Linked DNA regions of Lepisosteus oculatus. The protein of the gene in region 1 purifies or fractionates together with the protein of each later gene. This does not show direct contact. Links are inferred from orthologs where the notes say so. Each region holds a gene or a part of one and is shown in the gene's direction. Other genes may lie near its edges.

The links.
Region 2: the proteins of chek1 (region 1) and hax1 purify together in Homo sapiens (affinity purification with mass spectrometry; 3 studies listed by BioGRID and IntAct, with this or other methods). This does not show direct contact. The link is inferred for Lepisosteus oculatus from reciprocal best matches to the Homo sapiens genes CHEK1 and HAX1.

The regions. Positions count from the first base shown.
Region 1 is NC_090718.1:15,709,090-15,724,082, forward strand, and holds chek1 (serine/threonine-protein kinase Chk1), read left to right. Parts: upstream 1-7,130; 5' UTR 7,131-7,197; exon of another isoform or gene 7,198-7,564; 5' UTR 7,565-7,589; coding exon 7,590-7,654; intron 7,655-8,435; coding exon 8,436-8,659; intron 8,660-8,833; coding exon 8,834-8,898; intron 8,899-9,226; coding exon 9,227-9,296; intron 9,297-9,487; coding exon 9,488-9,676; intron 9,677-10,099; coding exon 10,100-10,204; intron 10,205-10,402; coding exon 10,403-10,498; intron 10,499-11,503; coding exon 11,504-11,612; intron 11,613-11,919; coding exon 11,920-12,097; intron 12,098-12,312; coding exon 12,313-12,444; coding exon of another isoform or gene 12,445-12,468; exon of another isoform or gene 12,469-12,507; intron 12,508-12,884; coding exon 12,885-12,986; intron 12,987-13,116; coding exon 13,117-13,212; 3' UTR 13,213-14,226; downstream 14,227-14,993. Other genes in the region: prdm10 (PR domain zinc finger protein 10), read left to right, coding at 75-185, 307-507, 1,171-1,314, 1,785-1,940, 2,487-2,627, 3,186-3,369, 4,197-4,303, 4,945-5,142; uncharacterized protein, read left to right, coding at 14,335-14,413, 14,707-14,993. UniProt on the Homo sapiens protein: Serine/threonine-protein kinase which is required for checkpoint-mediated cell cycle arrest and activation of DNA repair in response to the presence of DNA damage or unreplicated DNA.
Region 2 is NC_090722.1:5,804,633-5,819,619, forward strand, and holds hax1 (HCLS1-associated protein X-1), read left to right. Parts: upstream 1-9,244; 5' UTR 9,245-9,387; coding exon 9,388-9,458; intron 9,459-9,760; exon of another isoform or gene 9,761-9,850; intron 9,851-10,862; coding exon 10,863-11,074; intron 11,075-11,808; coding exon 11,809-11,942; intron 11,943-12,440; coding exon 12,441-12,507; intron 12,508-13,004; coding exon 13,005-13,126; intron 13,127-13,767; coding exon 13,768-13,882; intron 13,883-14,360; coding exon 14,361-14,440; 3' UTR 14,441-14,907; downstream 14,908-14,987. Other genes in the region: pro-interleukin-16, read left to right, coding at 1,524-4,117, 5,235-5,427, 5,833-5,931, 6,605-6,845, 7,729-7,854, 8,006-8,160. UniProt on the Homo sapiens protein: Recruits the Arp2/3 complex to the cell cortex and regulates reorganization of the cortical actin cytoskeleton via its interaction with KCNC3 and the Arp2/3 complex. Slows down the rate of inactivation of KCNC3 channels. Promotes GNA13-mediated cell migration.

The DNA.
Region 1 (14,993 bases):
ATCTGCTGTGTCACGAGGGGAGGGGAGGTATGTGTCCGAGAGGGTCCCTGAAACTCCTGGTGTCGCCCCTCCAGGTGAACCACCTGTCCAAGCGCCACCCCGACATGAGGATCGACGAGGTGCCCGAGCTCACCCTGCCCATCATCAAGCCCAACAGAGACTACTTCTGCCAGTACTGCGACAAGGTGCTCTCTCGCGGCTCTGTCCCTCTCTCTCTCTCTGCCCGTGTTGCGCCGAAGATCCCGGAGTCCGGAGTGGCTCCGGAAGCAGTTCTCCCTGCTCGTCTGACTGTGGCCTCTCCGGCAGGTGTACAAGAGTGCCAGCAAGCGGAAGGCCCACATCCTGAAGAACCACCCCGGCGCCGAGCTGCCCCCCAGCATCCGCAAGCTGCGGCCGGCCGGCCCCGGGGAGCCCGACCCCATGCTCAGCACCCACACGCAGCTGACCGGCACCATCGCCACCGCGCCAGTCTGCTGCCCACACTGCTCCAAGCAGTACAGCAGCAAGGTGAGGGCCTGCAGCCGGCTCGGGAGGCATCCCCCTCCGGCCTCCCTGCTCCCGGCTGGACGGTGTCGGGAGGCCAGGAGGCTCGTGCTCCAGTCCCAGTGCTGACACGGTCAGCGTCCTGCCGAGATGGCTACACCGCCAGTCCGGCAGTGCGCCCTGTCGCCCAGACATGGCGAGACCACGAGTCCTCGTTCCCGTCTCCTGACCGTGAGCGGCGCTGCCGGCCCACCCAGGCCTTGTTCTCCACACCCACCCCCGTTCGAGCGCAGGAGCGCCTTGTTTCAGGTTTAAGTACTTGCCCACGGATGGCGTGGCTCGCAGGGTGTGCAGGCAGCACAGATTTTAAGGTACCGAATGTGCCCCTTGGGCCTGCGAGCTGACCTGTCTGTGCTTTGCTGAAGGCTGCAGCTCGCAGCCACTGCCCTGCTCTCGGCTCGCACCCTTGTGCCCTTTGCCAGCGGGAGGTGGTTGAGTTGATTGCGCTCCGCTGTGTGGAGGAGTCGGGATCAGTCCACCCGGGTCTCCACGCAGTCTCGGCGGGCCGTCATGAAATATGTCATCAACCCGAGAAGCTCATCCTGGGAATCTGCGTCCTGAATGGCTGGAGCTGGAGACGTTCCCTCTGACCATGCCTGTCTCTCTCCGTGTCCTCCTCTCCCGCAGACCAAGATGGTCCAGCACATCCGGAAGAAGCACCCCGAGTTTGCACAGCTGGCCAACACCATCCAGACGCCTCTGGGCACGGCCATCATCAGCAGCACGCCGGCCGTCATCACCAGCGACAGCTCCACCACAGAGGCTGTGGTGGTGAGGAGGGGGGGGGTCACACACACACACACACACACTGCTGGCTGTCAGCTCATCCGCTTCCTAAACAAAGGGATGTTAATTAAGAAATGTCAATTCAGGGAGTTAAAATGATCAGCCGCTGGAGTAAGTTACTTCAAAGAATTTTAAAAAACAACTCGTTTTCGTTTTCCAAAAGACTGAGCACCTTATCAGACGATTTTAGAGCAGAGATCAATATCTAAGAAGATATAGAGTCGTTTGATTTCCAAGTAGCGTGAATGACTGTATTGTATATCGTCAGTACAGTATTCAATAGTGTCCGCGACTCAAGATCTCGAGTATTTCCCGGTTCCTTACAGTCCGTTTCAGACAGACCGTGTCGGTACTCTCCCAGATGGGAACCGCGTGCACGAAACTGAAGTGAGGAAGAGTGGAGGGCTGCAGCTCTGCGTCTCTCGCCTCTGACTGTGCCTCTGTCTCCGTCCCAGACCACAGACCTGCTGACGCAGGCGATGACGGAGCTCTCCCAGACCCTGACCTCGGACTACCGGACGCCCCAGGGGGACTACCAGCGGATCCAGTACATCCCCGTTTCCCAGGCCCAGCCGCAGCACATCCAGCTGCAGGTCGTGCAGGTGGCGCCGGTGAGGGGCGCTCGCCGTGACCCGCTGCGGGGGACACTGTTCTGGGCCCCTCCAGCCCACGGAGCTGAGGCTGCAGCTGGGAGAGGTGTCAGTGGGGCCAGCAGGGGGCGCTCCTGATGGGCCATTGTTGTGATGGCACCTTTTTGCAGTATAGTGTCCCCGTCCTTCAGATGAGACATAAAACCGAGGTCCTGACTCTCTGAGGTCATTAACAATCCCGGGGTGTTTCTCGAGAAGAGTAGGGGTGTTACCCCAGTGTCCTGGTCAAATCTCCTCCTGGCCTTTACCCATCATGGCCTCCTAATAAGCCCTGTCTCTGAACTGGCCTCATCGCTCTGCTCTCCTCCCCACTGAGAGCTGGGAGAGGGCTGGAGCATCATCCAGCTGGGGCTGCACACTGGTGGGGGTGGAGGGGATCCCCATGACCTGTAAAGGGCTTTGAGTGGAGGTCCAGAGAAGCGCTATAGATGTATAAGGAGTTAACATGCCGCGCAGCCTGTTGGTAGTTTTCCTCTGAAGGTTTGCACCCTGTCTTCCCCCCCCCAGGCGTCCTCTCCGCACACCTCCCAGCATTCCACGGTGGACGTCAGCCAGCTGCACGAGCCCCACGGCTACACGCAGCACTCCATCCAGGTGCAGCACATCCAGCTGGCCGAGCCGGCCGGCTCCGCGCAGGGCTCCGCGCAGGTAACCGGCCCGGGCGGGGCCAGGGGGAAACTCGCACCTTCCCGCTGGGATTCGGGTCCTCTTGCGAGAGGGGTGCCTCGTGGGTGTGCCCCTTCTGTGTCTTTTCAGGGCGGGAGGTTGGCTGGTCTTTCCGATGTCGTTCGTCCGCGATGCAGCTCGTGTGGTCTGGGAGTGCCGGGGCTTGGGTGCCGAACGTCGGCAGTGAACCCAGCCGGGAGAGACCAGTGTGGCCTCGCAGCAAGTGGAGAGAGCAGCGTTTTGTAATCTGAAGCCAGAGCAGGGCAGGTCATGTGCTGGGAACCGTTGTCATCGAAGTTTCTTTGCTGAAGATTCACTTATGGCTTTAAAGCATCTTCAGTTTGTGCTGCTCTTTTATCAGATGAGTACCGTGTCAACTGGGGCAGAAATTGGGACAAGAAACCCTTGATACAAAGAAATGTAAAGATGTTTGTGTGCATGATTAGAAAAGCTGTGGTTAAGGGTGTTCAAGGGAGCCAGGTCCTGTTCTCTTCAGGATTGGCCAGCTCGTCTAAAGACTCTTCTCCCTTTTATTCCCAGGTAGCTGGGCAGCCACTTAGCCCCTCCTCCCAGCAGGCGACGCAGGAGCTGAGCCCCTCCCAGTTACAGACCGTCACCCCGGTAACCCTGGCGCAGAGCCACACCCTGCAGACACCCTCGTCTCAGCAGCAGGGGGCAGTGCAGCACGCCTACCTGCCCAGCAACTGGAACTACAGGGGCTACTGTGAGTGACTGGGCTGGACATATTCGTGTTTCATACAGAGGCCCCCAGCCCTGGCCCTGGAGGGTGGGTGTGGTTGCCGGTATTTGCCTGTGGGTGATCACTCCCATCCCCTCCGCTGCTGTCGGGACCCAGAAACCCTGCAGGACCAGGACTGGAGACCCTGCTATAAGCACACGCATGTCATGTGCTCATACCATGCACTCCGTGTTTGTGTGCGGCAGTGCTCCAGAGTCCGGAATACCGTGTAGAGAGAGAATGGGGAGAGCAACACGCTGGTCATAGTTTTCACGACCCGAATGAGCCCTTTTTCACTGATCGGCCCCTGGGATTAGAAAATATCTCTGTGTTCCAGAATGGACAGCTGGCTCCGTTTTATGAAAAAGTGCTGAAATACCCTGCCTCTGTTTCCTAAGTGTAGTGGCAGTCTGTGTCTTTTTCGAAAGCTGTATGGCATCTTCGAGATCGTGACTTGTAGCTGGGGATGTCCTCCCCACCTGCTGAAGCACACTTTCTAGCATGAGTCCCTCTGTACCCCAGCTAGAGATCTTCTCGCAGTGAAGACGAGCCAACAGGATTGTCCTCGGGCTCGGTGTCGCTCCCAAACCTTCCCTGTAATTTGAAGAATGTAACTGGACTGAGAAACCGGAAAAGATCTTGGGCCGCCCTGTTGGTTTTCCCCAGTGCTGATGTACATCTTGTCATCTTTGACCGGTGCTGACCGTACTCGATACACATTGTGCTGTTGGTCGAGGGGGTGAAGAGAAGGTCGGTGTCATTCAAAGCCCTGTTCCAGGCTTTTTACATTCCTCTCTCGTTCTTCTGTCCAGCCTCGGAGATCCAGATGATGACTCTCCCCCACGCCCAGTACGTGATCGCCGAGACCGGGGCCCCAGTGAGCGCGGTGAACAGCGGTCAGGTCAAAACCATGTCCCAGGTCAGGAGGTTTCGGCCTGTTGACATCCGAGCGAGTCGGGGGGGGGGTGGTCTTCTGTGGAAGGTGTCCCTGTCACAGCGATGTCACTCGAACGTGCAGCAGGTTTCTTACAAGTCGGTGGCTCCGGAGGGTTTGTCAGGTATTTGGGTTGTGTCCCCCCGAGACGGCTGTTAAAATCGGAGGCCTCCTCCTTGCCCTTCTCCGACACGCTGGCCTGCGGAGAGCCCCGCAGCGCCTGAAGGAGGGTTGGCACCCAGTGGAGGAGCCCTGTCATCCTGTCCCCATCTCCAGGGGAGGGGATGACTAAAGAACCGGGGCTTGGTTAAAAAAAGCCTTCTGTCTGGCCTGGGGCACAGCGAGTGACCCCTAAACGGGCTGTCCTGCTGTGCAGCAACATCCTTCAGCCCTGAGCTTCCTGCTGTGGGCCTCGCCTCCCGCTCCTCGCTGACGCCTGTATCGCAGGCACTCCCTCTGCAGTGTGTGCAGCTCTCGGCGACAGCAGGGTACGGCAGCAGGCCTCGGTCCGGGGCGCCGGCAGCAGGGCGCTGGGAGTCCCGGTCACAGGCGCCAGGTGTCTGGACTGTGCGGCTCAGGCTTTTGCTTGAGACGGCTGTCTGACCCCCCCACCCCTCTTCCTGCAGACGCACTACGTGATTTCGGAGGGGCAGGCGGAGCTGGACCCCAAGCAGGCGGCCGTTCCCCAGAGCAGCGCCCCCGTGCACCCCGACCAGCTGGAGCCGCAGCAGCAGGCCGCCGCCCAGCAGCCCGCGGCGCAGTACATCATCACCACCACCACCAACGGCAGCGGCGCCAGCGAGGTCCACATCGCCAAGCCCTGACCCAGGGCGCAGGGCAGGAAGAACGGGACGCTGGGTTCCAGGGATAAAACGCATCCGTGCGGCTTTTTCTGTTGGAGGTTCGGTGTAATATATTAGAGCTTTTATTTTCTTAGAAGGTCAAGGTTGGACGTTTTCTGTGTCCGAGGGCTGCGGAGAGCCGGAGTGAAGATGTCGCTGCGGTAGACTCCCCCCTCCCTCCTCCTGCGCCCCGAGATGCCTCTCGCCTGCAGACACCCCCAGGAGCAGAGGGGGTGCGTTTTGCCCTGTTTCTGAGGGGCTCCCCGTGCAGGGTATGGAGAGGAGGAGCGCGTGTCCTGTCCGAGCCTCTGGGGCGCAGAGAGCGAGCGCCCTTGAGCTGCCCGGAGCCCCGCCTGCGGCCGGCGACCACCGGGGGGCTCTCGCTTGCAGACGGAGCGACCCTCTTCTCCATGGTGGTCTTCCCGCGGCGCGGCTCGTTCGGCTCTGTGGTCGCGCTGGGCGCCGTTGCCTAGCGATGGATTCTCATCTCGGAGACGGGACGCCCTGCAGGCCGCAAAAAGAGGATAACATGATTTTGTTTGTTTTTTTTTTCTTCTTGAAGACCTCCTAACCTGAAGGGACTTGTATAATGTAAAAAAAGAAGTTGTATTATTATGGGACAAACCCGGGACTTGTGTACAGTGAATTCCATTGTGGCTCTGGTAATAGTCGTCCTGTTGTGATCGGGGGAGGGGATGATTAAAGAGAGAAGGCTTTTTTAACTGAACCCTGGTGTCTGGCCTGTTCTCTGCCCTGGGGCACAGCGGGTGACCCTACAGCAGCTGTCCTGCTGTGCAGCACCATCCTTCAGCCTTCAGCTTCCTGCTGCTTGCTGGTGGTTCGTTGCCTGGGATACAGGCATTTCAGCTTTGTGTTCAGTTCCCCGCAGACGCGATGTAGTAAGTCTACAGGCTGACATGGTGCTTGCCATGTGGGAACCGACGGGACCCGCTGCGGTCCTGTTCCTGCCAGTCCTCAGCTGGGAGTCCTCTGTGAGCGGAGGCAGGCCGTGGCTGGAGAGGACTTCCCAACAGATCCCCCAGAGAGGGTCGGGGACACTGCTGCGGCCGGCGCCATCGTTCAGAGAGCCGTCAAACAGTCCTGCCTGCCTGGCCCCCATTGCCCCCATTGTTTTCATCACAATCAGGAGTTCAAGCACCGAGTTTGTTGGTACCTGTAAACTTCCTTGTAGATGGTCACGTGATTACCCGAAATCAAGGCGCTATATCTCGGAAACGAAAGCAGCACAAACGCTAATTACAGCAACACAAACCGTCGTTTGTGCTGTTCGACGGGCGGGTGGGAACCTTCATGGAGCAGGACAAGCAAACATGTCTGGGTCAGTACATCGCAGACTGCATAAGACTCGACTTCACCTGAGGATCTAACACAGGCGCCCACACCTGTGTCTTCAGGGGGCAGGTGTGCCCTCACGCTGTATTCTACACCAAGACTGGCCGGAAACACGAAGATACAAGGACTGTGAGCTCATCGCTTCATATTTGCGCATAAGACTCCTGTAAATACAAACACACGGCTAATGAGTTTATTAAAAAATGCAGATATAAGTTCGCTTCTGTTATGTGAAAATAAAAAACATGTTTCCAATATTGCCATGGTCCGCAGACGGGGTCACTGGAGGTCAAAGGCACCGTGCATGGTCACTTGATCACAGGAAAAACAAGGCGCTATATCTCGGGAATGGAAGCAGCACAAACGCAGCACTAACGAATGAGACCGGCCCGGTTTCCCTACGACATTATAGGGGGGCTGATTGACGTCACGACCCCGAAAAAACACATCTCGGAAACGTGTACTAGTGAACAAAGCGCTATTTCATTCGCTTTTGAAAACGCTGCGCTGTCACCCAACAGCAAGATGGCGGATTAGAGTCGTCCCGCTGACGTCATTCGCATGTCGCCCATCTCCCCTGCTGCCGACGTCAACAGGAAGTGCGTGAGCCCAGAGCGGAAGGAGCGTGGAGGAGATTTGAGACCGGAGCGCGCCAAAGCGCGGCCGTGCAGTTATTTCGGAGGGGTAAACTGATTTTAAAAAAATCCGAAATACGGGCAACGATCGCCTTGGTCTGCCGTGATGCGGACTGCTGCAGTCTGTCGAGAAGTTGGGTGCGAAGCGCAGCGCCTTTTCGATCCGAGTCAAAGGCGTTTCTAAAAGCTCCCTGCTGTGCGCCGCGGCCCGGACGGGCTCTTCAGCGTGTTCCAGGTGTCCCTGTGTCGGTTCTGGTTCCGAGAGGACCGGAGCCCGGGGCGGGTGTCGGTTCTGGTGAGGGTGCTGTCTTGCCGGAGCCGCAGTGGCCGGTGTGTCAGGGGTGCAGCTGTGTGTGATACCGCTGGCGCCTGTAGGTGCTCTGACTGTCTCTGCTCTCGTCTGGCCGGGCGAGCAGGTGTGTGTGTCCCTGAGCCCTGGACATGGCCGTGCCCTTCGTGCAGGACTGGGACGTGGTGCAGACGCTGGGAGAGGGGGCTTATGGAGAGTAAGTACCGCGCCCTGGCTCGCCGGGGGCCTGATGTGCCAGCAGTAACTGTGAACGCCTCAGGCCGGTGTCCATCGATGGTCCTGCAGGCTGTCGGACCTGCGGACTCACTGACACTGCAGGACTGGGGGACTTGTTTTCAGCCCACATTGGGATTTGAAATGTTTCTGTGTCCAGCCTGTGGTCAGTGAGCCTGTGTTCTCTGTACAGCCAGGTCTGCCTGTGTCCAGCCTGTGGTCAGTGAGCCTGTGTTCTCTGCATGGTCGGGTCTGCCTGTGCCCAGTTTCTGTGGCTGGGTGAAGCACTGTTGTCCAGTGTGTGTTGTGTGTGCGTGCGGGAGGCAGTGCTGTCCAGTGTGTGTTGTGTGTGCGTGCCGGAGGCAGTGCTGTCCAGTGTGTGTTGTGCGTGCGTGCCGGAGGCAGTGCTGTCCAGTGTGTGTTGTGCGTGCGTGCCGGAGGCTGTGCTGTCCAGTGTGTGTTGTGCGTGCGTGCCGGAGGCTGTGCTGTCCAGTGTGTGTTGTGCGTGCGTGCCGGAGGCAGTGCTGTCCAGTGTGTGTTGTGCGTGCGTGCCGGAGGCAGTGCTGTCCAGTGTGTGCTGTCCAGTGTGTGTTGTGCGTGCGTGCCGGAGGCAGTGCTGTCCAGTGTGTGCTGTCCAGTGTGTGTTGTGCGTGCTTCTCCTGATCTCCGACTGGCCTGGGCTGCAGGAGCAGCTGGCGGGGGGAGGGGGGCTCGTCTCGGGCTCAGCGGGGCGACTGGTCACCCGTGTGCTCTCTGGCCGCCAGGGTGCGTCTGCTGGTGAACAGGCAGACGGAGGAGGCGGTGGCGGTGAAGGTGGTGGACACCTCGCGGGCGGCCGACTGTGCGGACAACGTCAAGAAGGAGATCTGCATCCACAAGATGCTCAGCCACCGCAACATCGTGCGCTTCTACGGCCACCGGCGTGAGGGGGACACGCACTACATCTTCCTGGAGTACTGCAGCGGCGGCGAGCTCTTCGACCGCATCGGTGAGGCGCCCCTCCTGCTCCTCACCCTCCTCACCCTCCTCTCCCTCCTCTCCCTCCTCACTCTCCTCACTCTCCTCACTCTCCTCACTCTCCTCACTCTCCTCTCCCTCCTCACTCTCCTCACTCTCCTCTCCCTCCTCACTCTCCTCACCCTCCTCTCCCTCCCTCCCTCAGAGCCGGACGTGGGGATGCCGGAGAGAGATGCGCACAGGTTCTTCCAGCAGCTGGTTGCCGGCGTGGTGAGTCTGTCCTTCAGCGCCGCGCTGGTGGGGTGTCCCCGGCTGGGCTGTCTGGTCCGGGGGTCCCCCTTCTTCCTTTTGCCTTCGTTTGGGTGGGGGGGTCAGCGGCTCTTGTGTGCCGAGCCAGCGTGAGAGGCGTGCTGAGCGATCACAGCGATCCCAGCAGTCCTTGCAGCGATGGGGGCCGTGCTTGAGTGTCTCGGGGGCCGCAGGTTGAAGAGGGAGGTGCGTCTCGGGGGCCGCGGGGCGGAGAGGGAGGCGTCACTGTGGCTCGTGGACTCCAGTGCGCTGGGATAACTGTGTGTGTGTGTGTGTGTGCGCTCCACAGGAGTACCTCCATGGAATAGGAATCACTCACCGGGACATCAAGCCGGAGAACCTGCTGCTGGACGACAGAGGTGAGAGCTGGGCTGGGTCCTGACAGTGTACCGACCCCCTAATCCCCCCCTGTCCCCGGCCTGTCCCCGAGAGGCGTCCAGCCTCTGGTGTGGCTCCTGCTGGGCAGTGTACAGCCTGATTTGAAGGCTGTGAGTGGACGCGGGGCGTTTTGGTGACACTGAGATGGTTTCCTCCGTCCTCTTGGCCCCAGACCAGCTGAAGATCTCCGACCTCGGCCTGGCCACCATGTTCCGGCACCGCGGGCGGGAGCGGCTTCTGTCCCGGCTGTGCGGGACGCTGCCCTACGTGGCTCCCGAGCTGCTCTCGCGGGCGGACTTCCACGCGCAGCCCGGGGACGTCTGGGCCTGCGGCATCGTCCTGACCGCCATGCTGGCCGGGGGTGAGAGCGCGGGCCTGTGTCAGGTGCTGCCGTCAGGGGGACAGTGGAGTCGGGGGGTCCAGTGTGTGTGTGTCCCGGGGGGGGTCCAGTGTGTGTGTGTGTGTGTGTCCTGGGGGTCCAGTGTGTGTGTCCTGGGGGGGTCAGTGGGACAGTGGAGTCAGGGGTCAGTGTGTGTCAGGGGTGACTATGTGTGTCCCGGGGGGGTCAGTGTGTGTCAGGGGTGACTATGTGTGTCCCAGGGGGGGTCCGGTGTGTGTGTCCAGGGGGGGTCAGTGTGTGTCAGGGGTGACTATGTGTGTCCCAGGGGGGGTCCGGTGTGTGTGTGTCCCGGGGGGTCAGTGGGACGGCGGAGGCTCGTCTCCCCCGGTGGCACTGCAGTGCTGCCCTCTCAGTCTGACGCGCCCCGTCGCTGTGCCGCCGCAGAGCTCCCGTGGGACCAGCCCAGCGAGACCTGCCAGGAGTACTCCGACTGGCTGCAGGGGAAGACCTTCCTCTCGCCCTGGAAGAAGATGGACGCGGCCCCGCTCAGTAAGGCTCTTCTGTCTGCCCGCCCTGAGAGCTGTCGAGGTGGTGGAGGAGTTTCATCGTTCTCAAAGTTTATTGTGTCTTAATACTTTTCTGTCAAAGTCCTCGGACTACTGCGCAGTTGCGTTACGGGGTGGAGCCTCCAGTGAACCCCGGCCCTCAATCCTGGGGGGTGTGCCCCCTGTCTCTGCTTGACCGCAGGCCTGCTGACCCGGATCCTGCTGCACGACCCTGCCAGCCGCATCGCCATCCCGGACATCAAGAAGGACCACTGGTTCACCAGGGGCTGCAAGTCAGGTGCGGTTCCGATCGAGAGGGTGACTTCAAGAAAACAACCTCCTTTGAAAGTTTTTATGAGGCACTTTGTGGGGAGAAGTTGCCCAGTGCTAGTAATGGTGTTAATTGTAACTCCCTACACTGCTATAGCGCTTCTCTGGACCCTCCACTCAGAGCTCTTTACAGGTCGGGGGGATCCCCTCCACCCCCACCAGTGTGTACCCCCACCTGGATGATGCTCCAGTCCGCTCCCCACACACCAGCTCTCAGCGGGGAGGAGAGCAGAGTGATGAGGCCAGTTCAGAGACGGGGGTTATTAGGAGGCCTTTTACAGTGTAGTGTCCCCATGACTATACAGGGGCATTAGGACCCACACAGACCCCAGGGTGAGCGCCCCCTACTGGCCCCACTGACACCTCTCCCAGCAGCAGCCTCAGCTCTCCCAGGAGTCTCCCCTCCAGGTACTGACCAGGCTCACACTGCTGAGCTCCAGTGGGGCTGCCAGCCGGGAGCTGCAGGGTGATATAGGTGCTAGCAAGATATATCAACATATTAATGTCCAAAGTAGCAGAGCAGACACTTTTAGGAGAAGAAAAATTTAACTCAAGGCTGTTGACATTTTATAGCATTTTATAGTATAGTATTTTATAGCAAAGAAACACATACAAATCTTCTTGAGAAACACCCCGGGATTGTTAATGACCACAGAGAGTCAGGACCTCGATTTTACATCTCATCCGTCACTGTACTGGGGCATTAGGACCCACACAGACCCCAGGGTGAGCGCCCCCTGCTGGCCCCACGGACTCCTCCCCTCCAGGTACTGGCCAGGCTCTCACTGCTGGGCTCCAGTGGGCGGCCAGAGATAGAGCTGCTGACCTCTGCTCCCAGGAGCCAGGAGGGGCACGCTGACCCGCTCTCTCCAAGCGATCCGGTTGTGTTCCCGTCCTCTGCTGTGGCTCTGCTGCTCCGGACCGGCTGTGCTCCGACCGCGACGGGGCGGTGACGCGCTGTTGTTTTTTTCAGGGGCGCAGCGGCCTCCTCTCTCCTCCGGGGGGCAGGGCGACTCCCCGGGCCTGGGGCACAAGCTGTTGCGCTCGGACTCCGAGAGGGTCCCGGTGGGCCGGGCCGGCAGGTCAGTGTGGTGGCGTGGCGAGGCGCGGCGCGTGGTGGGGAGGGCCATTCTCCCCCCCGGGTCCTGATGGGCCACTGCAGCTGAGCTGTGTGTTTCCCCACATACAGCATGTGAAGATGGTCTCTAATTCTCACTTATCAGAAGCCCTTGCTTTGCAATCATTGTGACTGTGGCCAAGAAAAAGCTACTTATTTGTTTTTACAGCATAATAATAATCCCTTTCACTAGTATAGCGCTTTTCCGGACACTTCATTCAGGAGACGTTTCTCTCTCCTTTCCTTCCCTGTCCCTCCGGTGTCCTCCTCAGTGAGGACAGGGTGCAGTTTTCGAGCTCCCAGCCCGAGCCGGTCACAGGCGCGTCGTCCTGGGAGTCCAGTCCCGGGAGCATGCAGGCCATGGTGCAGCAGATCAGCTTCTCCCAGCCGGCCTGCCCGGAGCACATGCTGCTGGGCAGCCAGCTGCTGGGAACGCCAGGGTCCAGCCAGGTGAGGTCTTCAGGGGACACCCGGGTCACAGCACACGCCGCCCAGGGGACGGGCGCTCTCGCAGGGGACACCCGGGTCACACCACACGCCGCGCGGGGACGGGCGCTCTCGCAGGGGACACCCGGGTCACAGCACACGCCGCCCAGGGGACGGGCGCTCGCGCAGGGGACACCCGGGTCACAGCACACTGTAGGCATGATGTCTCTCTCTGTCAGACCCCCTGGCAGCGGCTGGTCAAGAGGATGACGCGCTTCTTCACCACGCTGGAGGCAGAACAATCCTGCGCTACACTGCGCAAGGTCTGCCTGCGCATGGGCTACACCTGGAAACAGACCTGCACCAATCAGGTACCGAGGGGGGCGGGGCTGTAGCTGCACGGTGCATTCAGGAAACAGACCTGCACCAATCAGGTACCGAGGGGGGAGGGACTCTAGCTGCACAGTGCATTCATTTGATAAAAATATGAAATCAGAATTTTGCTGTACATCTTAATCTTAAAATAGTGATGATTTTTCCTAAAAGACTGTTTTTTAATGCAGTCACACCTTCAGGTAAATAACACACTGGTAGAAATGGTGTATGTGATTCTGATGCTGGTGCTACAAATGATCTTCAGTATAATGTCATCACTTATCACTGTGATTGGCAAACACAAAGTGTCAACACCATTTATCCTTGCCTGGATGCTGTCAGGGCTGGTTAAGGCTGGTGTTATCTAAACATGTCATGAGTGTTGAAGCATGGTCACATGACCTTGCGTCCCGTGTCGCATCACTCTGTCTCCTAGGTAACCGTCTCCACAATGGATCGCCGTAACAACAAGCTGATCTTCAAGGTGCATCTGCTGGAAATGGAAGAGAAGATCCTGATGGACTTCAGGCTGTCCAAGGTGAGCTCGGACCCGGGCCGTGTGGCTCAAAGGGGCCTCTGTTGACTGCTCGCGGGTTGAGGATCTCTTCGCTCCTCGGTTCTGACAGTCTCACAAATGCGGCACTACGTTTCCCTCTCCCCATGTTCAGGGCGACGGCCTGGAGTTCAAGCGCCACTTCCTGAACATCAAGCGGCAGCTCAGTGACATCGTCAGCAGCCAGAAGGTGCTGCTCCCTGTCGCGTGAGGAGGCGGAGGGGGACACGTCCGCGACCGGCACCCCCCGACTCGCCCTGCCCCCCCCGGACTCGCCCGTTTCCTTTAACAGCAGTCATCATCGTTTTACAGCTCCTTGCTCCTGACTTCTGAAGCTGAGTGCTCGAAGTCTCCAGCTTCAGAAGAACTTTTGATCAATTAAATGTAAGAAAAGAACAGTAAGTAACTAAGAGCTCTGCAGGAGTGCGGAGGAGCCGTTCCAGCCTTGGCCGATCCTTGCTCGGGGTCGAGGGGAGGGCAGTGTCAGTGCAGGAGGGGTAACGTCAAGTTTGGGGTCCAGGCCAGGGGGACGTATCGTGCGCGGTGTGCTCGAGGGCCAGCTGTGAGGTTTTATTAGTGCGTCTCGTCGGAGGAGAAGGACAGTGCCGGAGTTTGTTGGCTGTTTAGTCTCGCCCGCTGGGCCGCTGGCCGCGGTATGGCGCGGGGACGGGGCTCCTGGGGGGCAGAGCCACTCAGGGCCGTGGTTTCGGCAGGCCTGCCTCTGACAGCGTGCGCTACCGCGGGTCGGCGGGCTGGGGCGCGTGCGGATGCCCTCTGCTTGTTGGCGCTCCACGTCAGCCGGGCTGGTTTAGCCTGCCCGTGTGCCTGCTGGCCGACGGGGTCGGGTGTGGTGTCCCAGCCGCGGAGCAGCGGCACTGTGGGAAGCGCGTGCCGGGGGGCGCCGTATCTGAGCAGCCCGATGCACGCGGTCTGGGGGGCCCTCTGGTCCTCCATCATTGTCCGCAGGAAAGTTCCGCCATGACGGCTCTCAGCACAGCTGCCTTTCCCAGCATGCTGCAGGGCGGCTCCTCTCCCTGAGCTGCCATAGGCCGCGTGATCCCCCTCGTCTCCAGGAACGTGTCTCCGGCTGCGTTCCACTCTTTGAGCTCACAGCACTAGGGACTCTCACAGTCTTGTACTAGTCCCAGATTCAGTTTGCTGAATGTTGTTCCTTTTAACAGGTGGTAGATTGTATTTGTGTGAAAATAAAACTTGAAGAGTTAAACTGGACTTGGACATGGTTTGTGCTTGGAGCTCGTGTGTGTCCGTGTGTGTCCGTGTGTGTCCGTGTGTGTCCGTGTGTGTCCGTGTGTGTCCGTGTCGGGGGGTTGCCATGAACACACCCAGCTCTGTAGAGGGAGGCCTGGAGCAGACAGCTGTCTTGACTGGCAGGCAGGGCGCAGCAGTGAGAGGTAAGAAGGGTGGCTTTTCTGCTTTGACATGTCTGGCTACAAAGAGGGAGTTCAAGTACAGAGCAGGATCAGCAGGAACAATCTTGAATGGCAAAAATGCCCAAGGGGTTGGTTGCCCTGGGGCAGCACCTCACTGCCCGGCAGCCCCTGGACCCGCCGCGGGGGCGGCGCTGTTCAGCTGTCCCGAGAATGACACCACGGGCTCCGTGGCCTCCACGGCATTCCAGCGCTGCCTCGGGAAGGCAGGGCTGCTCATCCCGCTGGTCCGACCGCATTCCTGCAGCTCTGAAGAGGAAGGCAGACCCGGCTTCCCCGGCGCCTCCATTACCTGTCCTGGGAGAGACATGAGCACGGCCGGGAGCCGGGTCGTGGGGGCCGCGCGGCGGGGCGGGGGGCTGGGGTGAGTACGGCGGGGAAGGGCCCTAGTAATGAGCTGCATCTCCCGCTCCTCCACGTCCTCCTGTGTGTCTTTCTCGTCTCTGCTCCTCCTCACGCTGTTCCTGTCGTCTCTCTGCCTCCCAGCGCGCGCGGCCTTCGGTGGGGGCTGCTGGGAGCCTCGTGCTGCCTGGCGCTGGCAGCC
Region 2 (14,987 bases), on another chromosome or scaffold:
CGAGCTGAGGCACCGGAGGCGGGCAAACCCCCGCACGCCCGGGGGGCAGAGGTGGGGGAGAACCGGGATATGCCCGAGGACAGATCCCGCCTAGGCCAGCGGACCTGAAGCAGCCGGAGCAGGGGGCGTGCCGCGGAGGGATGCTGGCGTCGGGAACGCCAGGGGCTGGACGGGCAGGACGGACTCCTCTGGTCGAGGTCTCGGCTGAAGGACGGAGCACCAGGGGCTTCGGTAACTCACTCAGGGACTCAGGGGCAGAGCAGGAGACCTGAGCTGAGAACTTCCTGATATTAAAAAACCAGCTGTCCTCCAGGTATATATCAAGACTGGACCAGTTGTCCTGCTGGTGTGACAGCCCTGTGTCTTCACCACTGGACCAGCTGTCCTCCTGGTGTAACAGCCCTGTGTCTTCACCACTGGACCAGCTGTCCTCCTGGTGTGACAGCCCTGTGTCTTCACCACTGGACCAGCTGTCCTCCTGGTGTGACAGCCCTGTGTCTTCACCACTGGACCAGCTGTCCTCCTGGTGTGACAGTCTTGTGTCTTCACCACTGGACCACTGGACCGGCTGTCCTCCTGGTGTGACAGCCCTGTGTCTTCACCACTGGACCAGCTGTCCTCCTGGTGTAACAGCCCTGTGTCTTCACCACTGGACCAGCTGTCCTCCTGGTGTGACAGTCTTGTGTCTTCACCACTGGACCACTGGACCAGCTGTCCTGCTGGTGTGACAGCCCTGTGTCTTCACCACTGGACCAGCTGTCCCCCTGGTGTAACAGCCCTGTGTCTTCACCACTGGACCAGCTGTCCTCCTGGTATATAACAAGACTGGGCCTTGACCACTGGACCGGCTGGACTGGCACGAGTCGGGACACAGAGGCAGGGGAACGTCGAACGGCCCGGGAGGAAGACAGGCGAGAACAGAGCCGGAGTGTGCTGTCAGCACCGCACCCCAAGAGGCCAGGCAGAGACACGGCGGGGGGGACCAGCGTGCTCCAGATGTGCGGCCCAGCTGTGCCAGGGGGCGTGGCCGGGGGCTTCGCGGGGAGGTGATCTCCCAGGCGCCAGCGGGGGAAACGCGAGCCTGTAATAAGCCTCAATTTTGTTTTCTGCGATTCTGCTTTCCTGGCTGTGTCTCTTTCCGCCTGGCTCTGGCCGCACTCCGGCTGCCCAGTCCTGAACTCCGGGGCTTGTGGGAGCCTGTGGGAACATAAAAGCATCTTTTCTCTGCAGACTGCATTCCAGCCGAGCCGCGGGCGAGCTTCTGGAGCGACACGGAGCAACGCAGCAACCCAGAGCAGATCTTTCTATAGCGCCTTTCTTCCCCCTGGGGCTTGAGGCTTTTTTTTACAGGCCTGCAGTAAGTTTGTTTTGCCTCGAATTCTGCAAGGAATCTGAAACGACAGCGTTTTAGTTTCTACAGCGGAGAAGATCTCCTGTTCTGTGACCACAGCTCTGCGGCTCCTCCCTCTCCCCGATTCCGATACTGGAGCGCCTCCCGCCTCCCACCCAGGGGGGCTGAAAGGATGGCCTCCGTGCCCGTCCCAGGGTCCCCCACCGGCCGCCCCGCCTCTGGAGACCCTCGCCCGGGACCTTCCTCGGCCCGACCCGCACCGGGGCGCCCCCCCCAGAGTTCCGAGGAGCAGGCCGGCAGGGGACCCCCGGCCAGGTTCTCCATCAGGCCCGCCAGCAGCCGGTCCGCGGCGGCCGTCTCGGGGATTAGGCGCCCCAGACTGCTGGAGCTGTGCAGCATCTTCGAGGGGGACCCGGAGGCCGGGGGACCCCGCTCTCCGCCGCGGGAGAGCCGGAGGAGGGAGAACTCGGAGTCCGGGGGGGGCGAGACCAGAGGCGCAGCCAGAACCGGACCTTCGAGCGGAGGGGCCCTCCCCCCCAGGGTGGTCCCCAAACCGCCGGTGGAGACCAGCGCCGCCCAGATGAGGAACAAGAGTACCGGCTCCCTCTGGCCAGGGTCCGGCAGTTGTACCCCCGGAACCGCCAACCCAGGCGTGGACCGGCCCGGCTGGAAACAGGACTTCCACGACCGTAGCAAGAGCCTGGACTGGCGGGAGTCCAGCAGGGCGGGGCCCGGGTTCGAAAAGGAGGCCAACGGACCTGTCCGGACCGCCGCCCCAGAGGAGAGGAAGCCCGGGGCGACCCAGTGGGGCTCCAGCCCCCCGAGACCGCCCAGGAACCAGGACCGGGGTGGGGGCTCGGACCAGGCCGGCGCCGACGCCTACGTGTCCTCCGCGGGCCGGGCGGAGCAGAAGTCCGGCGGGGCGGCCCCAGGCCCGCTCTGGGGCAGCGTGGGGAAGGGAGCACAGAAGATCCTGATCGTCGCGGAGAGGACCAGGAGCGGGAAATCTCTCCCCGCCCGGATCAGGCCGGAGCCGGGCTTCTGCACCGCCTGGGCCCGCAGGGACGACCCCGGCCCACGCCGGCCCTCGCCCACCTTCGCCGAAGCCGTGGCCAGAGGCAGCATGGCGGAGGCTCCCCGCAGGGGCTCCCCTGTCCACGCAAGGGGACCCTCGCCGGCGCAGGACCGGCCCGCCCGAGTGCCGCCCAACCCGGGCGCCGCCACCGGCACCGGCGCAGTCCAGGACAAGGATGCCAGCCCGGGCGCGGGCAGGACGTCTGGAAACTACGTCTCTGAACGCCTCCAGCCGGGCAGCGCAGACCAGGCCGCGGCTCGGGATCAGGAACCCAGCCGGGGGGCGAGCCTGAGGGATCCTGGGAATATCCCGGCTGGCGCAGGGCGTCCCGGGCCGCCGACGGCGCGCGGCTTCCAGCCCGGCGGCGGCAGCAGCTCCGGCTCGTCCTGCTCGTCCTCGTCCTCGTCCAGCAGCAGCAGGGACTCCGTGTTCGGATCCGGGGTGCCATCCCGGCTGCTGGAAAGGACACACCGGGGGGGCCCCTACCCCGCCCGGGTGAGACCCGTGACACACGGCCCCTCCTGGGAGCGCGGCCCCGTGTCCGGAGCGATGACCAGGACGGTGACCGCGGTCCAGCGCAGCCCCAACAGCGGGGTCCTCTCCCAACAGAGAGAGCAGCCGAGGAAACCCTGGGATGAATCCAGGTATCGCTCCCACGCCAGCGCCTCGGATCTGGGGAGACAGATTTCGATCCAGGAGAGACCCCCCACGTTTCAGCCATCCCAGTCCCGATCCGGAGGAGGAGGAGGAGAAGGGGGGAGTCGCCCGGATTTCCGGGACACTGCTGTCTCCACGGAGACGGTGCGGAACAAGATCCATCGCTTTGAGACCCTGGCCCACCGGAAGGACAGCCCGGCACCGAAGCCGGACCAGAGGCCCGGCCCATCCTCCTCCTTCCAGCGGGCCGCCCGGGTCTTCTCGGAGACGGCCCCCGGCGCGGACCCCCAGCGGAGGGGACGGCCCGCCTGGAGGAGGGGGGACGAGGAGCGGGCGGCGGCGTGGGTCCGATCGGCGTCGCTCGACAGCGCGCCCCGACTCGGAAACCCTCCGGCAGATCCGGACGGGGAGGAAAAAGCCGGAGGAGGAGACCCCTGGGTGGGGGGCCCACCCGCGGGGTCCGATCCCAGGGGTAGCCGTCCCAGAACTGGCACCGAGGACGAGTGCGACTCTCCGGCCCCGAAACCCACCGTCCCCGACAGCAGGACGGCTGCTGCCCCCCAGGAGGACACCTCCGAACCCGGGTCGCCCCTTGTTGTGGAGGGGCCCCTCCCCCTGGGCCCCATCGCAGGCAATTTCAACAACAACTCCAGCAACGGGCTGCCTCCCAGTCCGCTCGCCCGCGCCGGCCTCGCTCCGCCTTCCAGGCCAGCGGGTCACCTCCCGGACCTGGTCCCCTCTGGCCTCCTCCGGGAGCCCCATCCCGGGAAAACCCCGTTCCCGCGGACGTGCTCCCCCGGACTGCCACGGCCCCCGGACCAGACCGGGGAGAGCCTCCGTCTGCCGCCACCTGCGGCCCCCGAATCCCGGGACACCTGGGGGCGCTGGAGCTCGGAGGAGGAAGACTCCCGTTCCGAGAGCTCCGAGAGCTCCGAGGGCCACGACACGGATTCAGACCGCTCGGATTCCGGCTCCTCTTCGTTGACGATAACCAGTAGCTTCAGCCAGTCGGACAGGCGCAGCTTCTCCGTCAGGTCAGTGGCCGGGGGCCGGGTGTCTTGAAGAGGCTCGTTCCCTGGTAGGCTGTGGGGAAGGTGTCTGGTTTCTGAAGGCAGTACCCCTGTGAGCTCCGTGTGTCACACACGGCAATAAGAAAACATCTCATAAGACGTTGCGCTGTAAAAAAGCTCAGCACTTTGTCCCTTCTAAAACGTCCCCTTTCCCTAAGACAAAATGGATTACATCATAGAGCGAGAGAAGAAGCACTAGATTTGTTATTCAAAGCTTATCAGTTACTTTCAGCTAATTCTAATGACCCAGACAGCATATATTGTTTTGGTACATTGTCTTCTAAAGTAACCTAAACAGTGTACTTTGTTGACGCACTGTTTTCTAAAGTTCTGCACGTACTGTAGCACAGCAGTTACATCCTTGAAATATATTATCTAAAAGCACCAATATATTTTTTGCAAAGCTCTCTACATTTTAAGAATCAATTTACTTATTAGATTTCCACTTCAGGTTGTTCATCATCATCCCGGCAGCTTGGGTTTGGATGAGATGCCCGCTCCGGGAGAGGGGCATGTCTGCTTCCCACTCCCCCCCGGTCATCCGCAATCTGGATAGCCACCGGGGAAAAAGAAAAAAGAGGGGTTTTTCATCCAGTATGGGGTGCAGTGCTCTAGGGCAGCGGGGTGGTGCAGAGGTTTGCACTGGAGCTCCACAGCACCGGGACACCTGGGTTCGATTCCTGGGGTGCTGTCTGCGTGGAGTTTGCATGTTCTCCCCCCCCAAGTCCGCGTGGGTTTCCTCCCGCAGTCCAGAGACAGGCTGGTGGGGTAACTGGCTTCTGGGAAAACTGGGCCTGGTGTATGAGTGTGAGTGTGAGTGTGAGTGTGAGTGTGAGTGCTGGGAGAGGCTCTGACTCCCCCGTGACCCTGTACTGGATGAAACAGTGAGAAAATGACAAACCATTTACTGAAGGATCCAGGGACTCTCACTTCAACAACACAGCTGGGCAGCTTGTTCCAGGCACCTGCTACCCTTCCTGTAGTGCTGTGTCTTCCCCTCGCCTGACGACATTTAACGTGTCACGCACGGGAGAAAAACACACGGCCCTATTCACCAGCCCCCCTCTCTCTCCCCCCCCAGTCTGGCGGACCTGTGCGGCTTGGGGGGCGCAGACGACTGGGACGACTCCGACGCGGAGGACAGCCGGTCGCTCCGCTCCGCCTCCCTGAGCTCCAGCATGTCCTCCGCCCTGTCCATGGTGTCCATCATCCCTCACGACGAGCTGGAGAGCCTGCTGGACGACGTGAGGGCGGCGGGGGAGGAGACCCTGGCGGTAAGCCCCGCCCATGTCCCCGCCCACACGTGCACAAGCCTCACCTACTGGTGCACTGGCGCACGTGTGTGCGTGAGCACGTGCACGATTCCCGGACTCCTGCAGGAGTGGAGCACAATGACTGGGCACGGGACGTTGTCTTTTATGTAGCATTTATTTGTGCCGTCCGAGAGCTTTTGAAAGTCTCTCTATGTGTGCAAAACATATCTCCATGGATGTAAAGAAATTTTGTGAGAAATCAGACAAAGTATTACTGCACGCGTGTATATTACGAAAATTCTCGGACTCACAGCATGTACTGTACAGAATTGTTCATGTCCACTTTCTCTTTCTCTCTCCCTGCTGTTCCCACACTCTCTACTCTCTGGCCTCATCTCCCCGTCTCTGCCTCCTCCTCGCTCTCAGAACTGTGAGGATATCCAGGTGGTGGTCCTGCACAAGGAGGCGGGCTCTGGGCTGGGCTTCACCGTGGCCGGGGGAGTGGATCAGAACAAGCCTGTGACTGTGAGTGCACACTGTCTCTGTGTGTCTCTCTATGGCTGTGAGTGGACACACTCTCTATGTGTCTCTCTATGAGTGGACACTGTCTCTGTGTGTCTGTCTGTGACTGTGAGTGCACACTGTCTCTGTGTGTCTCACTATGGCTGTGAGTGGACACTGTCTCTGTGTGTCTCTCTATGAGTGCACACTGTCTCTGTGTGTCTGCCTGTGACTGTGAGTGCACACTGTCTCTGTGTGTCTGTCTGTGACTGTGAGTGCACACTGTCTCTGTGTGTCTCTCTATGGCTGTGAGTGGACACTGTCTCTGTGTGTCTCTCTATGAGTGCACACTGTCTCTGTGTGTCTGTCTGTGACTGTGAGTGCACACTGTCTCTGTGTGTCTCTCTATGGCTGTGAGTGGACACTGTCTCTGTGTGTCTCTCTATGAGTGGAAACTGTTTCTGTCTCCTCATCCTTCTGCGTGACTCTGTGTCAGAGTGTCTCCCAGCTTCTGCGTCCGTCTCTTGTCTTCTGCTGTGTCCCCTGTCACGTCTCGCATCTGGGCCCAGATGTGGTTCCCCCCCGCACCCCGCAGTGTCCACGGCTCGGCACTCCGCTGTCCGGCCAGGGGGCAGTGAGCTCCCTGCGCACGGCCGGTCCGGACCGTAATAACGGGAGCGTCCGGCTGTGTCCGCAGGTCCACCGGGTGTTCCCCTGCGGCCTGGCGGCCCAGGAAGGCTCCATCCGCGAGGGCGACCGCGTGCTGTCCATCAACGGCACTGCGCTGCAGGCGGCCGCCCACTGGGAGGCGCTGCGGACACTGCGGAGGGCGAGGTCCCGAGAGCAGGCCATCGTGGTGCTCCGGAAGGGGACCTGCACCCCCGCCGCCACCGCCGAGCCCCAGGGCACCCAGCCCCACGGCCTCCCCACGGGTGACGGTGGGTATCCAGACCAGAACCAGGCCGCGGACCCAACTGCCCCACACAGCTCCTTTGCATGGCAGCTGGCAGCCCACTGGAGCTCAGGTGTGAGTCTGCCCAGCTCCTGGATGGGAGACTGCTGCTGGAGGAGGTGTTAGTGAGGCCAGCAGGGGGCGCTCACCCTGCGGTCTGTGTGGGTCCTAATGCTCCATTATTGTGACTGGGACACTATGTAGACTGTAAAAAGGCGCCGTCCTTCGGATGAGACATAATACTGAGGTCCTGACTCTCTGTGGGCATTAAAAATTCCAGGGCGTTTCTCCAAAAAGAGTAGGGGTGTTAATCCTGGTGTCCAGGCCAAATGTCCCCTGGTGGTAGTGGAGGGGATCCCCATTACCTGTAAAGCACTTTGAGTGGTGTCCAGAAAAGCGCAAGGAATGATCATTTATGTTGTAACTACATTTCACTGTAACAGTGAGCACGACAGTGTAATAAGCATGTTCTTGCTTGAGACCCGCACTGGTCAAAGTGGCTCCTAGAAACAGGATTTATCCCCGTTTCTAAGGTGTTCAGTGGAATAAACAGTACAGGTTTCCTCCTTTAGGGGTTCACCCCAGCCACTGGTGTGGGTACCCACTGATAGGGCTGTGAAGGCAGGATAGTACAGCGCCATAATGAGACAGGCCAGATTTGAACCCGCAACCTTTTGAAAACAGGTTCAGAGCACTAGCTGCAGCTCCACGCTACCCCCTTCAGTGCATAAAGGAAAGTGTAATATGGTGAGGGAATTAGGGCTTATTACTGTGTAATAGATGTCATATTACTATGTAATAGATGTCATATTACCACAGGATGTGTAATGGCAGGAGTGTAATGGCCTCCTTGTGGTTCATCCCTGCAGCCCAGCCAGGGAAGACCGTGCATCTGATCCTCACCAAGAGCTCCTCGGACCTGGGCTTCAGCCTGGAGGGGGGGCGCGGGTCCAACCAGGGGGACAGGCCCCTCACCGTCAAGAAGGTCTTCCCAGGTAAGACGCCGACGGGCAACGTCAGGCTCCCGAGCGTCACTTTAGCGCACTGCTGTCATGTTCCCTTCCTGGCCCTCCCACTTTTTATTCACCTGCCCTCCCTCCCTCCTTCCTGTCTTCCTGTCTCCCTGTCTCCTGCCCGTCTTCCCAGGCGGCCCCGTCGACCAGGTGCTCCCCGGAGACGAGGTCCTGGAGGTGAAAGGTCGGAGCCTGCGGGGCTTGAGGAGGCTGGAGGCCTGGAACTGGATCAAGATGCTGCCCCCTGGGCCGGTGGAGGTGTTACTGCAGCGCCCCTGCAGACTGTAGGGAGAGGAGGAAGAGAGAGGGATGAGCTTGTCTGGCCCTGTAACCAGCACATGGGGGACAGGGGTTCAGGGCACAGAGAGAGAGGGGAGACAGGGGTTCAGGGCACAGAGAGAGAGAGGAATTCAGGGCAGAGAGAGCAGTGATAAGATTCAGACATGAACACAGGCAGAAAATCAGGAAGCTACACAGAGCAGCTGAATGAAGAGGGGGACAAGAATTTGCAGCAATTCATGTTTCAGCATCTTTTAACATTTTGTATAACAATCTTAAAAAAACAAAAAAAATGGCTTGTTAATAATATCTTGTTAACGTCCCCTAAAATCAAAATCTTAATTATAAACTTTTGTGCTTGCTTTAAATAAATGTGTTGTAATTCAGTTTTGGATTGTGTGTTACTTTTTCTCCATCTACGACGTTCATTTTATACGAATATCAAACTACAGTTCAGTAGAGCCCAGTGAGATCAGGGTAAAAGCACAGTACAGTGCAGTACAACCCAGTGAGATCAGGGTAAAAGCACAGTACAGTGCAGTAGAGCCCAGTGAGATCAGGGTAAAAGCACAGTACAGAGCAGTATAGCCCAGCAAGATCAGGGTAAAAGCAGAGTACAGAGCAGTACAGCCCAGCGAGATCAGGGTAAAAGCACAGTACAGTGCAGTAAAGCCCAGTGAGATCAGGTTAAAAGCACAGTACAGTGCAGTAAAGCCCAGTGAGATCAGGGTAAAAGCACAGTACAGTGCAGTACAAATGTGGTGAACAGCTGTAGTCTAAGCCTCGTGTCCGTTCTCAAACTTAATGAGAATTAATCAGCCACATTCTTCACTGCACATGCTTGTGAACGAACAGCAGGTTGTTTGCCTGTAAGGCAACCTTTTTTTTCTTTGAGCTGGCTGAAGCGGTACGTCGGGATTTTTCTCCAGTGATTAATCAGAAACCAGATTCGAGCACTGTGAATAACGCTGACTCCTACACCACCCCCCCTCGGCCTCTAGCTTGCTTTTGTGCTGTAATGTTTACGACACACCGCCCGTGCCCTCCGCGTTGTAACTTACAGCAATAATCGTCACTTTCCGGCAGTGTGTCATTACGGCCAAGTTCAGTTACGGCAGTGTGGCACGTTCGTTTTCCTTCTCCGCGTCCTTGTAAGAAGAAGCGAGCAAGAGCTTTATGCCAAAATAAAGTATTAAGCCACAAAGACGATTTTTTATTTAAAAGGAAATCTGTCAGATGAGCTTGTTTGACTTGTTTCGCGGTTTTTTCGGGTTCCCGAGAGGCAGTTACCCCGGAGATAGACGGAGGTGAGTTAGTATTGCAGTTGTCAAACAGATGTTTACCCTGTTTTGAAAATGCTTTACTTTTGAAGTGTTATTTTTAATATTTTAAAAACGGCCTGGAAAGGCGCTTTTAAGGGAAACCACGGCTGGAAATACCGGTTATCTAAAGTTACAAATTCCGACGTGAACTAATACACGACATTTTGTTGGTTATATCATCTCGGTGCGTTATCAAGACCCTAATACTGGTAATTCCGTCGTTACTGACGAGGATGACGACAGACTCTTAAAGTATTGCTCATGTTGTGTACGTCTAGTGTTCTGGAACTGGACTTAATTATGTAGCACAAATAACTTTGAGACTGCCGAGAACAATTCCGCTCTGAAGTATCGGAAGGGAATAACTACATAACTGAGTAATTCACTCGTCACTTGAGCAAGTCCATTAGAGACTGAGCACCCCACGAGCTGTTAGCCGTTTGCTTATTAGGTTTTAGCTGACGTCTAACATTTCAGTTACTCAGAAACCACGATGGAGCCGCTTTGAAGAAAGCTTTTTTGCATTTTTTAAATTATTTTCCATTGTTTTTTTTTAAATATTTGCTTGCTTGTTGCTTCTTGTTGATGTTTTACTACGTTAACACACCGGTAAAGTTTCCGCCACTAGAGGGCGCCCGGCCTCTTTTCTCTTCTCTCCTCCTCCTCCTCCTCTCCCCACCTCTGTTGCTGTCTCCCTCTTCCTTGTTTCCTGTCCTTTCACATTTTTCTCCATCCATCCATTTTCTAAACGATTAATCCAGGACAGGGAGGGTCACAGGGGAGCTGGAGTCTATCCTAGCAAGCAAAGGGCACGAGGCGGGGTACACCCTGGACAGGACACCAGTCCATCGCCGGGCACACAGACACACACACCCTGGACAGGACACCAGTCCATCGCCGGGCACACAGACACACACACCCTGGACAGGACACCAGTCCATCGCAGGACACACAGACATACACACACACACGCCCTGGACAGGACACCAGTCCATCACAGGACACACGGACGCACACAAACCCTGGACGGGATGCCAGTCCATCGCAGGACACACAGACACACACACCCTGGACAGGACACCAGTCCATCGCAGGACACACAGACTCTCACACTGACACCAGGGCTGATTTGCCCCAGAGCCCAGCAGCATGTCTTTAGACTGCGAGAGGAAGCGTAGCACCTGGAGGAAACCCATATGAGCCTCCAGAGAGAGCATGCAGACTCCACACAGACAGTGCCCCGGGTTCGGGGTTGACCACTGGGAGCCACCGTGCCGCCCCTTTCGCCTTCCCGGTGTAAACTCCGTGCTCTCGCTATCCCACAATCCCTCCACACGCCGGCGCTGATCTCTCTGTCAACCCCCCCCCCCCCCTCCTCTGGCGCTCCAGGGACCCGTTCTTCGAGGGCATGACGCGAGATGATGACGATGACGACGACGACGAGGGCGAAGACGAGGAGGCGCTGCGGTTCGGGTTCAGCTTCGGCCCCGGCGGGATGCACTTCGAGGAGCCGGCGGCGTTCCGGGAGCTGTTCCGCGAGGTGGAGGAGCTGCTGGCCGGCGTGGGCCGCTGGGACGGCCTGCCCAGCTCCACCCCCTTCGGTGAGCCGCCTGGCGACGCCCCTTCGGGTGGGGGTGGCGTGCTGCAGTCCTTAAAGACGTGAACACCCAGGGTTCAGTTCCTGGAGTACTGTCTGGGAGGAGTTTGCATGTTCTCCCTGATTTTGTGAGTGTGTTTCTTACCACAGTCCAACCACCCAATAGAAGGTTCATTGGCTTCTGAGGGACATGGCGTTGGTGTGAGTGTCTGTGTCTGTCTATGCTCTGATGGACTGGTGTCCTGTCCAGGGTCTGTGTGCCCTCTGATTGACTGGTGTCCTGTCCAAGGTGTGGCTGTGTGTCCGTCAATGGACTGGTGTCCTGTCCGTTGCGTGTGCGTATCCATCTGTCCGTCCATCCGTCCGTCCTCTGATGGACTGCTGTGCTGTCCAGGGTGTGTGTGTGTGTGTGTGTGTGTCTGATAGATTGGTGTCCTGTCCAGGGTGTAGCTTGCCTTGCCTGTTGCTTGCTGGGATAGGCTCCAGCTCCCCCATGATCCTGAATTGGTTGAAGTGTTTAGAAAATGGATGGATGAGGAACCAGTGGATAGGTGTGCTTAAGCGTGTGTGGATGTGCTCATGCGTGTGCGTGTGATGTGTTGGTTCCTAGCACACTGCACCCCGTACTGTACTGTGTTCCTGTACAGTGCAGGTGTCTTCTGTTCCCTCCTGCTGCCTGGATGTGTCCTGTTAGTTCCCCACCGGATCCTCATGCTCTCTCCCCTCTCTGCTCCCCAGCGATCCCCAGTATCGAGGCGCCGGGGCGGCAGGAGCGCGGCAGGTCTCCGAGGGACTTCATGCTGAGACACCCCGACAGCACCCCGTCCTCTGACCAGGGGGACAGGGAGCCCCCCTCAGGGCCCTTCTCCAAGGTGAGAGCCCTTCTTCAGGAGGGTGTTGATCGACCTGGCTCTGTGTCCGCTGCCCCTGTGCTGTCCTACTGTATTCCACTCCCTCCCTGTCACTGCGCAGTTCTGCTGTCTCCTCTCTGTGCGTGTGTCTTTTCTGGGAAGCCACTTTTAAAGGTGCTTTAGAAAATAATAATAATAATAATAGCCTCAATAATAATGATAATGATAATAATAATTACTATGATCATGTTGCGATCCGAAGTGATTGTGAGGATGAAGGGGGATGTTGTGGTTTTTCTCTCTTGCACCCGATTGCAGCGCTGCTGGTGTGGGCAGGGCAGGGCGGGGTGGGGTGGGGTGGAGGGGGGCAGTAGGGGTGCGTGGATGAGCGGACGGAGGGGTCAGGGGTCAGTGCTGAAGGAAGAGTCGTTTCGGAGTGCCTGTTGTATTAATCCTCTTCAAGCCCTGATGTTCTGATGGGCTTTGGGTCACTAAGCCTCCCTCCTCTTCCTCTCCCAGTTCGATGACGTCTGGCGGGGGGGCCTGTGGAGGGCGGAAGAGGGGGAGCCCCTGAAGCAGGACGGAGGTAAGAGACCTTGAGGGGTGTGGTGTGGTGGGGTGGGGGGGCCCCTGAGACCCTCAGCCCCACGAGGCCTGTGGGTGTTGCCAGTTCTAACCCAGGTCTCGGGTGTCGCAGTGGGAGTGTGGTTGGGTGTGGTTAGACTTGTCTCCTCCTCTCTTGGTTTTTCGGGGGGGGGGGGGACTGCAGCCCCTCGCAGTGACATCATCCCACAGGACGGGTCTGGGGCAGCTGCTAACCCCAGCTGGGGGCAAGAAAAAAAATGACCACCGGCCCTCTCCCATTTCGTCCCCCGTTCAGCTCCTGGCCACAGCCGCCTGTTGTCGGGGTGGGTCGGGCCTGGGTCAGGCCTGAGCCGGGCCACAGGAGAAGCGGCGCCGCCCGTGTGACACGAGGCACCTCTCAGCCTTCACTCACCCTCTTCTCCCTCGCTCCCTCCCTCTCCCACTCTTCTCCCTCGCTCCCTCTCCCTCTTCTCCCTGACTCTCTCCCTCTCCCTGCAGATCTGGACTCCCAGGTTTCCTCGGAGGGGCTGGAGAAGATCCTGACTCCCGCGCAGCCCAGGGCTAAGTCCAAGTCCTTCTTCAAGTCCGTCACTGTCACCAAAGTGGTGTCCCCCGACGGGGTAGGGCAGGCGATCTGTTTCAGTCTTGTATAGCGCCTTTCACCCCAGAGCGTCTCGAACCCAGCCCTAGCTGTGCCCCCTCTGTCTGAGAGACCTCCTCGCTTCCGTCTTTAGTAACTGTGCTGAAAGGACTCGTGTGCAGCACGTACAGCTGCTCTTTCAAGGAAAGAGCCCGTCCCTGTCTTGTCACTGCTGCTGTCTTTATTAATATAGTCCGTTATTTATATATTATATCATATACAGTACACTATTAATGTATTGATATAGTATAGTGTGAACAGTACATTATTAATGTATTATATTGTATACAGTACACTATTAATGTATTGATATACTATATTGTGAACAGTACATTATTAATGTATTGATATAGTATATTGTGATGAGTACATTATTAATGTATTATATTGTAACAAGTACACTATTAATGTATTGATATAGTATATTGTGAACAGTACATTATTAATATATTATATTGTATACAGTACATTATTAATGTACTGATATAGTATATTGTGATGAGTACATTATTAATATATCATATTGTAACAAGTACACTATTGATGTATTGATATAGTATATTGTGAACAGTACATTATTAATATAGTATATTGATGCACTGTATCTGTATGTGTCTGCAGACCGTGGAGGAGAGGCGCACAGTGAGGGACAGCCAGGGCAATGAGGAGACTACAGTGACCCGCTCCGGCCCGGCAGACAGGAGCCCCCAGATCCAGCAGGGACCCCCAGAGCCCGGTCAGTGATCCCCCCCCCCCACCGCCACCCCTCCCTGGGTAGACTGCCGATGCAGTGGTGTGGGATGTTGGGGGGCGGGGGACGTGGCCCTGCCCCTGCCCCTGCCCCTGCCCCTGCCCCTGCCCCTGCCCCGGCCTGCTGTCCTCTCTGGGGCAGCGATGTGGGGTTGCCGTGCAGCTGTGGCTGTCGAGAGGCTGAGCTTGTGGTGCCATAGTGGTGCCTTGAGTAGGATTCAGTGAGCCCCAGGGACAGCAACAGAGGAAAGGGGGAGTGTTCACTAGGACGCACCAGGGCAGAAACGGCGGTGTTGGGTTTGGCCTGCACAGGGGTGGTCAGCCTCCCAGTCTGATCCCACTGTTTCCATTTTCAGCGCCCGGATTAATTGGTACCAGACTCACAGGCTCGTCTGTCCGGGCTGGTGGGTCTGGGTGTTTTTCTCCTGTGTTGCCTGATCCCGCCTGTCCTCTGTTCTGTGCAGGCGTGTCCCCGGGCTCCTCAGGAATGCAGGATGATGCCTCCATCTTCTCCCGGTTCTTCGGGGGATTCCGGGATCGGTAGGAGGCCGGCACCATCCGGAAGAGGGCAGGAGGAGGCAGGAGCTCGGGTCGGTTCGAGCTTTTCCGCTGGAAACGTGCTCTGGACTCTTCACAGTTTTCCCTTTCCCCAGCGTGTGTGACGACATGGGGAGCTGGGATTGGACTTGGGAATTAATTAAAAATAAGGCAACTGGAAACTGAAAATACTCCTGGCTCGGCCCTTCTAGCCTCTGACGGCCTCGACCAGTTGTGATTTTATTTTGACATGCGTGCCAATTAACACACCCGCAGTGGGGTGATCACTCTCTTCCTCTCTCATTCGGTCACACCTGGGGGTTTGAAAGAAGAAGAAACAGATTGATTCCTTCTTTTCGGGATAGCTTGTACAGAAATCGCAGAATAGCAGTAACTTCTTTTGTTGAAGTGATTTTGTGCATCAGGGATGATGTCTGGAACGTCCATTAAAAGTGGCTTCTAGTGCAAGAGAAAGGCGTGAGTTTTCATTTTATAATCCCCGTCTCTGAACTGGCTTCATCCCTCTGCTCTCCTCCCCACTGAAAGCTGGTGTG